Macaca fascicularis: one gene and its partner. Each later gene encodes a partner of the first gene's protein in a complex. Links are inferred from orthologs where the notes say so. Each region holds a gene or a part of one and is shown on either strand. Other genes may lie near its edges. The genes, in order: NFS1 and ISCU.

The links.
Region 2: the proteins of NFS1 (region 1) and ISCU are in contact, whole or in part, in a crystal structure (PDB 6W1D), measured with the Homo sapiens proteins. The link is inferred for Macaca fascicularis from reciprocal best matches to the Homo sapiens genes NFS1 and ISCU. Residues at the interface, in NP_066923.3 of Homo sapiens: Tyr360, Val361, Glu362, Glu364, Ser365, Leu367, Met368, Ala369, Lys371, Glu399, Asp400, His403, Ser404, His429, Arg432, Leu433, Glu435, Met436, Ser437, Pro438, Leu439, Glu441, Met442, Trp454, Thr455; in NP_998760.1 of Homo sapiens: Tyr35, Val40, His42, Tyr43, Glu44, Val49, Gly50, Ser51, Leu63, Val64, Gly65, Ala66, Pro67, Ala68, Cys69, Gly70, Val72, Lys74, Phe90, Lys91, Thr92, Phe93, Gly94, Cys95, Gly96, Ile99, Lys135.

Annotation. Positions count from the first base shown.
Region 1 is NC_088384.1:91,746,197-91,754,135, reverse strand, and holds part of NFS1 (cysteine desulfurase), read left to right. Parts: intron 1-2,295; coding exon 2,296-2,448; intron 2,449-3,764; coding exon 3,765-3,858; intron 3,859-4,873; coding exon 4,874-5,008; intron 5,009-7,213; exon of another isoform or gene 7,214-7,337; intron 7,338-7,939.
Region 2 is NC_088385.1:115,393,464-115,401,502, reverse strand, and holds the start of ISCU (iron-sulfur cluster assembly enzyme ISCU), read right to left. Parts: upstream 4,858-8,039; 5' UTR 4,831-4,857; coding exon 4,717-4,830; intron 3,826-4,716; exon of another isoform or gene 3,195-3,825; coding exon 3,081-3,194; intron 2,188-3,080; coding exon 2,077-2,187; intron 277-2,076; coding exon 198-276; exon of another isoform or gene 1-197. Other genes in the region: SART3 (squamous cell carcinoma antigen recognized by T-cells 3), read left to right, coding at 6,263-6,574.

The DNA of each region.
Region 1 (7,939 bases):
CACTATGTTGCCCAGGCTGGTCTTGAACTCCTGAGCTCAAGTGATCCTCCTGCCTTAGCCTCCCAAAGTGGTGGGATTACAGGCATTGACTACCACTACATTCAGCCCCTTTTTTTTCTTCTTTTTTTTTTTTTTTTGACACAGAATCTCGCTCTGTCGTCCAGGCTTGAGTGCAGTGGCTCGATCTCGGCTCACTGCAAGCTCCACCTCCCGGGTTCACGCCATTCTCTTGCCTCAGCCTCCCAAGTAGCTGGGACTACAGGCGCCCGCCACCATGCCTGGCTAATTTTTTGTATTTTTAGTAGAGATGGGTTTCACTGTGTTAGCCAGGATGGTCTCGATCTCCTGACCTTGCGATCTGCCCGCCTCGGCCTCCCCAAGTGCTGGGATTACAGGCATGAGCCACCGCGCCCAGTCTCTATTTTCTTTTTTCTAAATTAATTAATTAATGTATTTTGAGACAGAGTCTCACTCTGTCGCCCAGGTTGGAGTGCAGGGGTGTGATCTCGGCTCACTACAACCTCTGCCTCCTAGGTTCAAGCGATTCTCCTGCCTCAGCCTCCTGAGTAGCTGGGATTACAGGTGCGTGCCACCACACCTCGCTAATTTTTGTATTTTTATTTATATTTATTTATTTATTTTTTGAGAAAGAGTTTTACTCTTGTTGCCTAGGCTGAAGTACAATGGCGCAACCTCGGCTCACTGCAGCCTCCGACTCCTGGGTACAAGCGATTCTCCTGCCTCAGACTCCAGAGTATCTGGGATTACAGACATTTACTACCACACCTGGCTAATTTTTGTATTTTTTTTAAGTAGAGACAGGGTTTCTCCATGTTGATCAGGCTGGTTTCGAACTCCCAACCTCAGGTAATCTGCCCTTCTCAGCCTCCCAAAGTGCTGGGATTTACAGGTGTGAGCCACTGCACCCGGCCATTTTTGTATTTTTAGTAGAGACGGGGTTCCACCATGTTCATCAGGCTGGTCTCAAACTCCTGATCTCGTGATTGATTGCCTGCCTCAGCCTCCCAAAGTTGTGAGATTATAGGCATGAGCCACTGCACCTGGCATCCTATTTTTTTTTTTCTTTTTGAGACGGAGTCTCACTCCGTTGCCCAGGCTGGAGTGCAATAGCACTCTTCACTCACTGCAACCTCCGCCTCCTGGTTTCAAGTGATTCCCCTCCCTCAGCCTCCTGAGGAGTTGGGATTATAGGTGCGTGCCACTGGGCCTGGCTTATTTTTTTATTTTTAGTAGAGATGGGGTTTCTACATGTTGGCCAGGCTGGTCTCAAACTGGTGATCTCCTGACCTTAGGTGATCCGCCCGTCTCGGCCTCCCAAAGTGCTGGGATTACAGGCATGAGGCACTGCACCTGGGTTTAAGCATTTCTCCTGCCTCAGGCTCCACTGTTTTTTTTTTCTTAAATGAGATAAATGGTTTTTTTAATTTCTTGTAATAGTTGAAATTCCAGAAATTTTTTAATGTACCTTTATTGTTTCTTCTGATATTAACAGTAATAACTACTCATGACTTTGTTTACTGTTATATCACTGGCACCTAGAAAATTACTTGGGATACTGGAGGTGCTAAATATTGGTTGAATGAATGAATCATAAATTCCAATAATATAGAGAACTCTAAACACATTTTCACTGCTAATTTGCTGTATATTTCTCCAGATTTTTAAATACCTACATTAATCTGTATACTATTATCATTTTAATAGATTTTATTTTTTATAGCAGTTTTAGGTTCACAGCAAAATTGAAAGGAAGGTACAGAAATTTCCTATATATGCCCACCCCCAGGTATGCACAGCCTTCTGCCATTATTAGCATCTTCCATCAAGTGGTACATTTGTTCCAATTGACGACCTGGTATGGATACATCATTATCACCCAAAGTCCATAGCTTATATTAGGAATCACTGGTGTTGTACATTCTGTGGGTTTGGACAAATGTGATTTATTCTAGTGAATTACTGAACTTGAGCGGGCTTCGGGAAGCCCTGAATTTGTATTTGACTGGGCAGAAGTATGGGTAGCTTGAGACCCCTGGGACTTATGTCTGGTATCTGAACTAGGGGCAGTCTTATGTGATTGAGCCCTTAATCCATGGGGTTTTCACTAAGTCTGCAGAGTTAGCCTCAGAATTGAATTATAGGATACTCAGTTGGTATGAAAGAACTGGTGTTGGAGCATACTGTTCTTGCCCATTTTTCCTTTACAAATGATGTTGAAGTCATTGCTGTCTCTCTCAGTATGTTCTCCTTCCATCTATCACCACCAATTTCTAGGGGGTGGCCCGATTCTACAGGTCACGGAAAAAGCACTTGATCACCACCCAGACAGAACACAAATGTGTCTTGGACTCCTGCCGTTCACTGGAAGCTGAGGGCTTTCAGGTCACCTACCTCCCAGTGCAGAAGAGTGGGATCATTGACCTAAAGGTAGGAGTGGCTATTGGCAGGAGGAGCAAAAATGGAGGAACTTGGCTTCAGCTTGTAAATTTCTCTTTTGGGCCCTAGCTGGAGCTTGAAGGAATAGATCTAACAGGATGAAGTTTAGAGAAATGGGCCTGGCAGAGAATGAGATCATGTTCCCCTTGAGTGTGTACTGTCCTCCTTTTCTCTGGAGGACTTGTTTCTTTTTCTTTTTTTTTTTTTTTTTTTGAGATGGAGTCTCGCTCTTTTGCCCAGGCTAGAGTGCAGCTCACTACAAGCTCCACCTCCTGGGTTCACACCATTCTTCTGCCTCAGCCTCTCAAGTAGCTGGGATTGCAGGCGCCCACCACCATGCCCAGCTAATTTTTTGTATTTTTAGTAGAGATGGGGTTTCACCGTGGTAACCAGGATGGTCTCGATCTCCTGACCTCGTGATCTGCCCGCCTCAACCTCCCAAAGTGCTGGGATTACAGGCATGAGCCACAGTGCCCAGCCTTCCTTTTTTTTTTTTTTTTTGAGGCAAAGTCTCGCTCTGTCATCCAGGCTGGATTGCAGTGGTACAATCTCGGCTTACTGTAACTTCCACCTCCTGGGTTTAAGCATTTCTCCTGCCTCAGGCTCCGAAGTAGCTGGGACTACAGGTGTGCACCACCAGGCCCAACTAATTTTTGTATTTTTAGTAGAGATGGAGTTTCTCCATGTTAACTAGGCTGGTCTTGAACTTCTGACCTCAGGTGATCCACCCGCCTCAGCCTCCCAAAGTGCTGGGATTACAGGCGTGAGCCATTGCCCAGCCTTGATTAGCTTTTTTCACTAATCATAAGTCTTTGGGAATTCATTCCTTGCTGCATGTGCCAGTAGTTTGTTCCTTTTGATTGATAAGTAGTAGTCCATGTTATGGATGTACCAAAATCATCTGTTGAAGGACATCTGGGTAGTTTCTAGGTTTTTGCTATTATGAATAAAGTTACTGTGAACATTTGTGTAAGATGTTTTGTGAATTTAATTTTCATTTCTCTGGGATAAATGCCCATGCGTACAGTTACTGGGTTGTATGGTAATTTCATGTTTAGTGTGATGAGCAACAGAAACTGTCAAATTCTTTTCCAAAGTGGTTGTGACATTTACATTCCCACTAACAATGTATGAACCATTCAGAGTCTGTGCATCCTCACCAACATTTTGTGTTGTCACTGTTTTTAGTTAACTATTCAGATAGGTATGTAGTGTAAGACTCCTTTTCATGACTAAGCTTGCCTATATTCTGATTTAGGAGGACTTTGTTTGCACTATCTAGTCACCTTACTCCTGCATATCCCTAGGAACTAGAGGCTGCTATCCAGCCAGATACTAGCCTGGTCTCAGTCATGACTGTGAACAATGAGATTGGAGTGAAGCAGCCCATTGCAGAAATAGGTGAGTATCATGGCTTATCCCTGATCCCTGCCCACTATGGCGGTCTGTATGATGTAGTAGACTGAGAGCTGTAATACTCTGTGGAGTGTAGTTAGGAAATCAAGTGAAAGAGAGCCTAAGTGCTTTGTTCAAGGACATTGTAAGTATCACAGGCAGTATTTGAATCTAGGTCTATTACCATTTTTTTTTTTTTTCATTGAGACAGAGTGTCACTCTGTTGCCTAGGCTGGAGTGCAGTGGTGTGATCTCAGCTCCCTGCAACCTCCACCCCCTGGGTTCAAATGATCCTCCCGCCTCAGCCTCTCAAGTAGTGGGACTACAGGTGTGCACCACTATGCCTGGCTAATTTTTGTATTTTTAGTAGAGATGGGGTTTTGCCATGTTGGCCAGACTGGTCTTGAACTCCTAACCTCAGGTGATCTGCCCTCCTTGGTGTCCCAAAGTGCTGGGATTACAGGCATGAGCCACTGCGCCCCGCCAGGTCTAGTACCTTTTATGGTTTTTAATTTTATTGCAGTTGCTGCCAAAACCAACCACAAAACAAAAAAGCCTTCTACCCTTTTTCATTTTAGAACATCTTTTTATTATCCCCACGTAGAGCTCACCCTGTAATTTCTTTAGGCACGTTAGCACAAAGATCTCTTAATTTTTTTTTTTTTTTTTTTTTTTTTTAATCAAAAGGGATCTAGAAACTAATCTGACATTTTGAAAGACTGGTGTTAATGAGGTGGTAAGAATCGTATGCATGAGAGTATCAGGAGTGTTTTGATCTGGTGTTTTGCCCTTCATCTTTTTTATTCTAAAGAAGGGAAGCTACTGAGAGACAGAGGGAGGAAGGAAGAAGGGGGAGGAGAGAAGGAAAAGAAGAGGGAGAAGGGGTGGAAGGACGGAGGGGAGGAGTTTAATATTGATAGAGGTCATTTACTGTTGTTGGAGATAATTCACAGTGCACTGTGGGACAGTGACAGATGACTTTCCAACATTGTGCTGTGGGTCTTCCCCTCTGTTTCCTCAGGGCAGATTTGCAGTTCCAGAAAGGTGTATTTCCATACTGATGCAGCCCAGGCTGTTGGAAAAATCCCACTTGATGTCAATGACATGAAAATTGATCTCATGAGCATCAGTGGTCACAAAATCTACGGTCCCAAAGGTACCAGCCCCTCTAGAGTTCTTTCTGTACCTTCCAGCAAGACCTTTGATAGGTGTTTGTCAGAGTCATTTGGGACTACTATTGCTCTCAGAGGAAGTTGTACATTCAGAGTCCCTTGTAGAATGCAAATGTCATTTAGCAATAGGCAGAAACACTTGCCTGTTTGTAGACCTTAGCAGTTACTATACATCAGGCCATTCTTTCTTGCTGACTTTAACAAATCCTTAGCAAGCGTGTAGATCTTAATTTGGTTGAGGAGAAAGGGGTTTTGTCAAATCAAATTTATCTAGATAAGCCCAGCTATCTTGTTTTCCCCACTATGATGTGCAGAGCAGCTATTTGAGTCCTTCATTCCCAGTGTCTTGCTATAGCTCAGGGGAAGATTGCATGGGATTTGACATCTCTTTGTGTTTATTATGATTATGATTTTTTTTTTTTTTTGAGACGGAGTCTTGTTCAGTCGACCAGGCTGGAGTGCAGTGGTATGATCTGGGCTCACTGCAAGCTCCCTCCTGGGTTCACGCCATTCTCCTGCCTCAGCCTCCCGAGTAGCTGGGACTACAGGCGCCCACCACTACGCCTAGCTACTGTTTTTTTTTTTTTTTTTTTTTTTTGAGACGGAGTCTTGCTCTGTCGCCCAGGCTGGAGTGCAGTGGCCGGATCTCAGCTAACTGCAAGCTCCGCCTCCCAGGTTCACGCCATTCTCCTGCCTCAGCCTCCCGAGCAGCTGGGACTACAGGCGCCCACCACCTCGCCCAGCTAGTTTTTTTGTATTTTTTAGTAGAGACGGGGTTTCACCGGGTTAGCCAGGATGGTCTCGATCTCCTGACGTCGTGATCCGCCCACCTCGGCCTCCCAAAGTGCTGGGATTACAGGCTTGAGCCACCGCGCCCGGCCGCCTAGCTACTGTTTTTGTATTTTTAGTAGAGACGGGGTTTCACCGCATTAGCCAGGATGGTCTCGATCTCCTGACCTCGTGATCTGCCCGTCTCAGCCTCCCAAAGTGCTGGGATTATAGGCATGAGCCACCACACCCAGCTATCTTTGCGTTTATTCTTAGAATACTTCATAGTCTGTTACCCTGTTAAGTCTCTCATGGATACTTATTTGTTCCCTATGGTCCTGTTGGAATGTGTTCAAGCTTGAGTTATGCCTCTTTCCCTTAACCCTCGGGAATAGACTGTTGTCCTCTGTTTTGTGAAGGTAACCATAAAATATCAATATAAAATATAACTCCTCTTTCTCAAGTGAGGGCCTTTTTTGGGTTGATGTCTTTGCTGGTATCCTTTTTGTACCTGCAGGGTGTGTTATCTGGGTGTATACTTTGTGGAAGTAGGTATAATAGCTTCTGGAAGTATGGAAGATGGCTTCTGAGGGTTCCCAGAGGTTGTAAAGAGTGTTTTTTGTGAGCTATTATTTCAAAAAGCTCAATAAGAATCCTATCTTTTAATAAAATGTTGCTTTTATTGGCTTTTATTGTAGATAAGTCTTTTTGATAAAAACCAATGAACTCAGGCTGGATACCCTATTCTTCATCATGTCCTATTTCACATTATATGCCTGTGTTAAAACATCTCGTGGGCTGGGCACGGTGGCTCACGCCTGTAATCCCAGCACTTTGGGAAGCCAAGGCAGGTGGATCACGAGGTCAGGAGTTCAAGACCAGCCTGATCAACATGGTGAAATCTCATCTCTACTAAAAATACAAAAATTAGCCGGGTGTGGTGGCGTGTGCCTTTAATCCCAGCTACTCAGGAGACTGAGGCAGGAGAATCGCTTGAACCCAGGAGCCGGAGGTTGCAGTGAGCCGAGATCGCGCCACTGCCTGGGTGACAGGCAAGACTCCCTCTCAAAAACAAAAAAAAATCTCATGTACTCCATAATATATATATCTCCTATGTACTCACAAAAATTAAAAAAAAAAAACACCAATGAACTCATTGATCAGAAGCTCTGATCAACACTTACATGTGTACAGGTATCCCTCATTATCTGACCTCCTGCTTTCCAAGCCCAGAATCTAAATAGATTTAGATAATGTGGTATTCTTCACTGTCCAGACATGGTATTTGAGCACTTGCTGTTTGAATTCGGGAACTGTATAGACTCAGATAGTATAAGATTCTTGAATTTTTTAAAATGGAGAAATGAAATAATTCTTAATAAATACAGTTTAGTACATTATTTTATTCATTTGTTTTATAGGGACAAGGTCTCACTCTGTCGCTCAGGCTGGAGTGCAGTGGTGCTATCCTACCTTGCCGCAGCTTCAATCTCCTGGGCTCAAGCAACCCTCCTACCCCAGCCTCACCAGTAACTAGCACTACAGGTGTGCACCAACACCCTAGCTAATTTTTTTTTCTTTTTCTTTTTTTTTTTTTTGAGACAAAGTCTTACTCTGACGCCCAGGCTGAAGTGCAGTGGTGTGGTCTTGGCTCACTGCAACCTCTGCCTCCCGGGTTGAAGGGATTCTTCTCCCTCAGCTTCCTGAGTAGCTGGGATTACAGGCCCACCGTGCCCAGCCACACCTGGCTAATTTTTTTTTTTTTTTTTTGAGACGAAGTCTTGCTCTTGTCCCCCAGGTGGAGTGCTATGGCGAGATCTCAGCTCACTGCAACCTCTGCCTCCCGGGTTCAAGCGATTCTCCTGCCTCAGCCTCCTGAGTAGCTGGGATTACAGGTGCCTGCCACCACACCTGGCTAATTTTTGTATTTTATTTTATTTTATTTATTTTATTTTATTTTATTATTTTATTTTTGAGATGGAGTCTCGCTCTGTCACCCAGGCTGGAGTACAGTCGCGCCATCTTGGCTCACTGCAAGCTCTGCCTCCAGGGTTCTTGCCATTCTCTTGTCTCAGCGTCCCAAGTGGCTGGGACTACAGGTGCCTGCCACCACGCCCGGCTAATTTTTTTGTGTGTGTGTATGTGTT
Region 2 (8,039 bases), on another chromosome or scaffold:
CTTCTGGCATGATTTTCTTAGGGATGAATGTGAGACCACGGGGGCTCTAACCCTCTGCAGGTTGTAAGGACAGACTCATGAGCTCTAATTCTGAGGGTTATAAACATGGGCTCCATGACCTAAAAGGACTGTTGCAAATGCAAGTTGAAATTACTGCCAAATGTCCGAGCTGACTGGTATGGAGAGCAGAGACTTACTGGAGCAGTGCAGTTTCACGGGAGGCAGGCAGAGCTCCTTGGCGATATCTGTGTTTTTGATAGTCAAGGCTTCCTCCACCTGAGAGGCATAATGGAAAGACGGGCAGTTTTAGCAACGCTTTATCTTGTGAGGGCCAGACAATAAAAAAGGGAGGCCAAAAAGGCCCTCGGGGTTGGTGGGGATAATTTCTGTTTAATAACTCAAAGGGCTGAGGGTCTTCTCAGGATGACTCCCACTCTATCAAAGCTGCAGCTGGGATTCTCAAGCATGAAGTATACACAGCTGCACTGCCTGGCTTGGGTAAGCAAAGACCGCCCAGACACTTCTCTAAGCCAGGAGTGGAACCGGTGAGAAGTCTCTTAGGGATCTGCTTGTGGCCTGTGTCAGGAATCTTTTCCTTAAAAGGTAGTGATTTCCGATACTGGTTTTGTGAATATCAGCTTCTCTGATGTCCTCATACGAAATGTTAGAATAAATCCTTTTGACTAGAAGTGCCACATGGCATCAGAGAGGTTGGGAAGATGTCAGGTAAGTGGCACAGTGGCAGTCGCACAGCCGGGTCAGGCTGAACGCTCTCTCTGGTGTCACCCTTTGCCTATAGGAGCAGCTCTTCCAGATCAACTGAGGAGGACGCCTGGGGTCTGGTTGACAGCCCGGGGGGGATAATGTGAGGCAAACAGATCCTCGCCCATGTGGAACAGTGCCCCACCGCCTTACAGAAAACCAGATTTCCCAACAGCTGGGCTCCTTCGCTATGTCTGACTATCGTTCAATTTCCCAATTCTGCTAACCCTTCTTGGCTGATTCAGGTTCTGCTCCTGAAACTCAGATAGGCGATCTCAAGGTTAAAGAAAATGTTCTCTCTCCCATTTTCTGATCACAATTCACAGTCCCCTAAGAGGCAGGTTCTGGGAGCATAAGTGCCTTGTCTCATTTCTCCCTTCACCTGAGGACAGTTCCTGACAAATCACTTCAGGGCTACCTCCTGCCAGAGCAGGTTAGGTCTGAGCTTCCTGGCCCACAGGAGCTTGCCAGCCAGAAGGCCGTGAGCCACAGGAAGCAGGTGGCACGTGGCCTGGCAAACCGCTCTGCCGTGGAGCTGGCCAGCTCCCAAGCATGCTCCTCCATGACTCAGCTCCCTGCACCTGGTCCCTTGGGGCAGCAAAGATGAGTGCCATGATGGTTGGCTTTTCTGAGAGGTTCTGACAGCAACTGGATTTTAGAAAGTCCAGCTCTTCACTGCTTTTGGGACCTTTGACCTCTGCAGCTACCAGGGAAAGACACTTCGGAGAGAAAGGGATGAAAGAGAAGTTCTAGCTCTTTATTATCTCTGCCTTTAGAGGGCTTGCGATCAACCACCTGGATCACTGTTCTGATTTCGTTGTTCACTTTGCCCCTACCCTTGCTGTGTTTTTGATTCTTTAATCCCTCTTTTAACACAGGCTAGTTTATTTCACCAATCCTTGTAAGCCACCTAGAACCCTTCCTGAAACATGAGAGGAAATAAGCAAGAAAATAACTACCATATAACAACTCTCTGACTTGACAAATTATAAGAGTATTGGTAACCTTAGAGAAAGCCAAAGATTTCTTCTAAATTCTATTTTGTTAGAGGGACAGGTGATGATCTTTTTTGTATGTAATTAACACCCAAACAAACAAACAAAATGATCAACAAGAAAAAAACCCAAACATCATCTAGAATGATCTATAATTCCCAATTTGAAGAATTAATATAATCAACATCTGTATAGCAGAAACTTTAAAAATTCAGAATATTAAAAAAAAGTTATGGTTGTTTTTGACCCATTAGACCCGTCAAGAGACAGGCTTGGGGTGAATGCAATTTCATTCTGTCAGATTTGTGAGCAACCTTACCGTCTTTCCTTTCACCCATTCAGTGGCTAATGAGCTGGAGGCAATTGCAGAACCACAGCCAAATGTTTTAAACCTAGCATCCACAATTTTCCCCTTTTCATCCACTTGAATCTAGAAAAGAGACAAGAGTTAAGTGGTGAGTCCTAGGACCACCCTCTGGAACTTGGCACTCACGAAGGTTCATTGGGGCCTTCCCCAAGGGCTTTGGGCTTGCTTTCCATACTAAGTGATGGTATTAATTACTGATTTTGCCTTGTTTCAGAGAGCTCAGTGATGAAAAGTGAAATGCAGGGACAATTATCCAGGCCCAACTGACAAAGATCAGCTGGAAAATATGTTCCTCCACCCCAATATTATTTTGTTTTGCGACTCTGGCTTGCATTTTGGCTATGAACTTCTATTTGAGGCAGTCTGCTCACAGCTGCTGGGGCAATCTGCCTCTTAAACACTGAGAGAGTACACAATAAAGGTCTCTGGTTAATACTTTTTTCTTGGGCAGCAGATTATACTTAGTGGTTTCCTCCTGTTTTGTTTCTGTATTCCAAGATAGGTATGAAGATCTCTGGCAAGCTGCCCACTCACCATGAAGCAGCAGATTGGCGCTACAACAACAGTTTACCCAAAGCACTAGACACTATCTTCATGTTGCTCCCAATCTGGGGACAGGTTTAATTTACTGTGTTTCTTATCTCATTGGGGACTGCTAGCTCACTGGGATTTTCCTTTGATCAGTAAAATTCACAAAACTCTTTCGTTGGCTGAAGTTGGAATTTAAACTTATACAGTGAGTACAAAAATGAGATTACTTTTCTATTTCGGAAAAAGTCGGCATAGTACACTAGCCTGGCAGGAGAGCTACGATTGAGGCCCTGTTCCAATCACGTCTAACATGGACTCATCCCATCTCACAGGAATAAAGATGGAGACCGAGTGAAATGCTGTATGTGCAAGTGCTTTGTAAACTTAAAGGGATTATTGTTATCACTATTAAAGACTAGCCATACCTGTAATTTCATTACGTCACCACATGCTGGAGCCCCCACCAGTCCAGTTCCAACATTTTTAGATGTCTTGTCAAGGGACCCCACGTTTCTAGGATTTTCATAATGATCAACAACCTAAAATGAGAGGGTTAAGATAAATCGTGTTCACTCTCTATTGGTGCTGGTCTCTGGTATGGTGGCAAGCTCCTGGAAGTCAGCATCTTGAACCTGGCAGGCAATCACCAAATTTCACCTGAGTAGAAAGGTCTACACTCATGTCAGTGAGAACCATTTGTGACCCCCAATTCCTTTTGTGTCTCCTCTACAACTACTTCACAGATTAGCGACACCTAGAAGAAAAAAATATCAGTGAAATCATGTCTTAATTCCATAGGGTTTTTACAAAAATACTTGACTTTTACCCACCTACATCACCAGACTTGGGCTCAAACAGCAGTTTTGTTATTTTCAAATAAAAACTATCCTCAAAGGATGATTACTATTTAAAAATTCTAAAAATAACTATGGCCCAGGAAGGGAAAACTTTTAGAAGCCTTAAGGTGACTGTTACACAGAGAACAATGCTATGGAATGTGTACGTTTATGTGTCTTTCAAAATAAAAACAGTGCCATTACCGTATTTCAGAGCCTGTCATCACCCTGGTGCAGCAGCGCACCCTGGCTGCTGAAAGGCTGCTAGTCCAAGTTTCCTCGGGGTGTACCCTCAACGAAACACACCGCCGGGAGGGGGAGGAGTGAAGAAGCCCTTGGAGAAAGGGCAGAGGCCAGATCAGAATCAACATCCATTCGAACTGGCACACAGAAGGCCTTAATGTGGTTACTGGTTAGTAGTAAGCACCCCGATCTTCCAGTCCCCTTTTCCTCCCCATCTGACTAAGGATTTTGACTCCAAGTAAAGGCCCCTATAGGATAGTATCTAACGGAGGGACTTTTTGTGCCACGTTGATTTATGGCATTCTTTGTTTCTAGAGTGGGAGTCTCACGTCTGGGGGACTTTGCGTCACCAGACAGCAAGGGGCTGCAAACTATGCATCTATCCCTCCTTCCCCGCCAAAAAAAAACCCCCAAAACAAAACAAAAACACTACGCATGTTGGTTACAAGCCTGACTCCCCTATGCACTCCTAAAGCAGTAACAGAAACGGTCTCCTCGTGCTGGGGCCTATGTGCCAGGAACCATGACAGGACTCCATGCACAGTATCCTTTGTAAGAGACAGCTGAGAGTCCTCATTTACACCTGGGGAAACAAGTTCAGAGAGGCGCAGTGACTAGCGCAAGGTCATCTAGCCAGGGCAGCAGCGTGGCTGAAGCCGGAGCCCGCTCCGGGGGTGTGTCTGTCCCTGGACTCTAAAAGACAAGTCCCAACAGGACCCTGCCTCCTGGGCTGTTGGCGAATTTAAAGTTGGGACGCACGAAGTCGCGGCCAGCGGCGGGGCCCCCTGGAAGTCGCAGCCCGATGAGCGGTAACTGTTGTTTATCAGTTGCAGTGAGCCTCACTGCGCAGCAAGGGAAAGTGAGTCAGGGCAAAGACGTGGGAGGCGACAGCTAGTCCTGGCTGCGTAGAACCCCGCGGCCGCCGCTCCAGCCCAGGCCTCCCCCGAGTCGGCATTCCGCGTGTCCCCTCGTTTGTCCCTACCTTCTTGTGATAGAGTCGGGCCGGGGCCGATAGCTCCCGGGCGGGCAGGCGGGGGCTCCGGAGCAGCAGAGCCGACGCTGCCCGCCTCAGACGGCCAGCTCCAGCTGCCGCCATCTTGCCGGCTTGCGCCTGCGCCAGTCCAGAGCGATGCCGAGGGGCGGGGCGCGTCTGCGAGTCGGCGCCGAGCTGGGAGCGCGCCTCTCTGGCGTCACCGAGGCTTTGCGCCTGCGCCTTACCGTTCCGTGCAAGCCTCCGCCCTGTGGCCCCGCCTTGACCACGCCTCTCGGGGGCGGGCGGGGTCGGGAGCGGGAAGGTCTGAAGTCGCTAGAGGGCTTGTCCTGGGTGCTGGATTCTGGTTGAGAGAGGATCTCAGGCTTCTGCAGTGTGGGAATGCGGCGCAGAGGACCACTGAGTCCACTTTTCCTAACCCTATTTTGCAGCTAAGGAAGCTGAGATTCAGGGCAGTTTGGTCACTCCGTCCAAGGTCGCTTAGGGCTTAGGTTCAACTAGAATTCGAACTTGGGTAGTCCTGGGTTAGAATCCTGGTTCGGTTCCTTCCTGGCTGTGTGTCCCTAGACAAATGGTACCGGCTTGCTAAGTCTGAATCTTCCTTTTTGTATTAATTCGAGGACAATTCCTTCATCATGAAGCCAGCATCTGTGTTGAGTACCTACTATGTGTCAAGGCACTCTACTAGACCCGGGGATCCAACAGAAAGCAAAACAGACGTAATTCCTGCCCATTAAGCTTGCTAATGAGGGAGCAAGGTAGAGATAGAGACACACTCCAGTACTTGCCTACCTCAACAATGGGAAGCTTAAGAAGGAAACGAACACCATGTCCTGATTGAAAAAAAATGAGTATATGTCTATTTTTCTCTCTGAAACAACAGCAAATTCAATTTATATGTCGGTGCCTAGCAATTAAGAATTTCTAAAGAAATGCGTATTTACTGTTGGTTTGCAGTATGTGAGCTTATAAAACCGGAAAACTCAAGTGTATTTAACGCCTCCTAGGTACCAGATGTTTACATAAAGGGGAAGAATTTCTTTGGGAAATGGATTTTTCTCTTGAATGGTGAAATCGATCCTTCCCCGAGGACCTGCAGTTTTCTTTGCGTTTGAGGTGCAGTTGCTGGGGAGACTAAACCCAAGCGCCAGGTCACACTAGGCGATAAGTAAGGTATTTTTTCTAAGAATCACTTTGACCTTCTCAAGATGGCGCCAAATTCTTTACTACAGACACCACGCTCGCTTCATGACTTCCTCTATGGCCTCCACTTCCTGCCCAAAGACCCAACTTCTGTCCGAAGTTGTGACGGAACGTATGCCATGATAATGAGTTTTTTCTCTGGTGGGAGTTTTTACAGGGGTATAAAATAAAATGAATTTAGTGTATTTGGAGATTTTCTCGTTATCTAAGGTTCCCAGTTTCCCTTTCAGTGTCAAGAAAACGGGCTTTTGATAAGGCGCGCGCCGCGGGCAGCTTCTGCCTCAGCGGGTCTTCGGCGGCCGCGGGAAGACCCGAGAGTCATTAGAAGCGCAAGATGGCGACTGCGGCCGCAACCTCGGCTTCAGAACCCGAGGCTGAGTCCAAGGCTGGGCCCAAGGCTGACGGAGAGGAGGATGAGGTTAAGGCGGCGAGGACAAGAAGGAAGGTGTTATCGCGGGCTGTGGCCGCTGCGACATACAAGACCGTGGGGCCAGGGTGGGATCAGCAGGAGGAAGGCGTGAGCGAGAGCGATGGGGATGAGTACGCCATGGCTTCCTCCGCGGAGAGCTCCCCCGGGGAGTACGAGTGGGAATATGACGAAGAGGAGGAGAAGAACCAGCTGGAGATTGAGAGACTGGAGGAGCAGGTGGGCCCGGGGGTGGGCAGCGGGCACCTTCCAGTCTTTCAGGTCCTCAGGTCCCCGTGTCCTGGCCCGCCTCCCTAGTCCTCGGCGGCCATAAAGCCGCCAAGGCTGCAAACCCCTTTTTCATGACCGTAGCTCCTGTCATTTGAGTGCTTACTGCGTGCCCGGTGCTTTGCAAATGTTATCCCATTGAATCCTCACCACCCTGTGAAGGAAGCCCTGTTATCTATCCCCATTTTACTGGAGGAAACTGAGGTTCGTGGAGGAAAGTCTCTTGCTCAAGATAATACTTCCTGCAAGTCAGGCCTCGTACTTTGATCCCATTCCAGAACTCCCCCTCGTAGCCACACGTCCAACAGTAGAAATACACTCATTCATAAGAGACTGTTACTTTGTTGTGTAGGAATGACGGCGGTGATGAAACTTGTGGTAGGAAAAATATTGACCGCGATGGTGATAATAGAAATGGAAAGGTTTGCTGGTTCTGGAGGTTAAGGCCTCAGTTCTAGCTGTTCCACCCTTGTATGTCCTTGTGAGAATTTCTTAATTTCTCTGATCCTCTCGGCTTCCTCATCTGCAGATTGGGAGCAACAATGTCTGCATAATATAATTGTTGTAACAGTATCTATAGCCCAGTGCCTAGCATCTAGTCATAACATGGTCTCTCGTTTGTAACCTTACGAGGTGGTGATATCTACTGTATAATCCAGGATCTCAGCAGGAAATAGGTGGCACATTTAGATTAGGATGATCTGAGAGAAAGTAAGGGTGTGGGTATGGGAAATCAGGAGTGAAGGTTTAGTATCCCATGGCTAGTAACTCCTGAACCTGGTGTCCATCTTTGGGCCTGAAGGGGTGAAGGGAATGATCTGAGTTGTGTGGAGAGGGCACCTGAGACCTGCTGATAACTTTGTTCAAGGGATGCAGCTCCAGTTTCCTGTCAAGGATTGGGGTGGGGGAAGAAATACCTTGACCTCCCTTTCTTCCTTCCACCAAACTTCTCCTGCTGGTGCCTTCTGCTGGGCAGACCCATCTGGAAGCTGAAGAGCCAGAAAACCTGTATATGGGGTCTATACTCGGGGACACAGGGCAGGGAGGAGAGGGTAGGGTGTGTTTGGAGGGGGCAAACAGAAGAGATGGAGCACATTCTCTCTCTTTTTTTTTTTTTGAGACAAGAGTCTCGCCCCGTCACCCAGGCTGGAGTGCAGTGGCACCATCTCGTCTCACTGCAAACTCTGCCTCCCTGGTTGAAGCGATTCTTCTGCCTCAGCCTTCCCAGTAGCTGGGATCCAGGCATGCCCCATTGCGCCCGGCTAATTTCTGTATTTTTAGTAGAGATGGGGTTTCACCATGTTGGCCGGGCTTCTCTTGAATTCCTGACCTCAGGGGATCCACGCACCTTGGCCTCCCATAGTGCTGGGGTTACAGGCCTGAGCCACTACGCCCGGCCCACATTCTCTTTTTACAG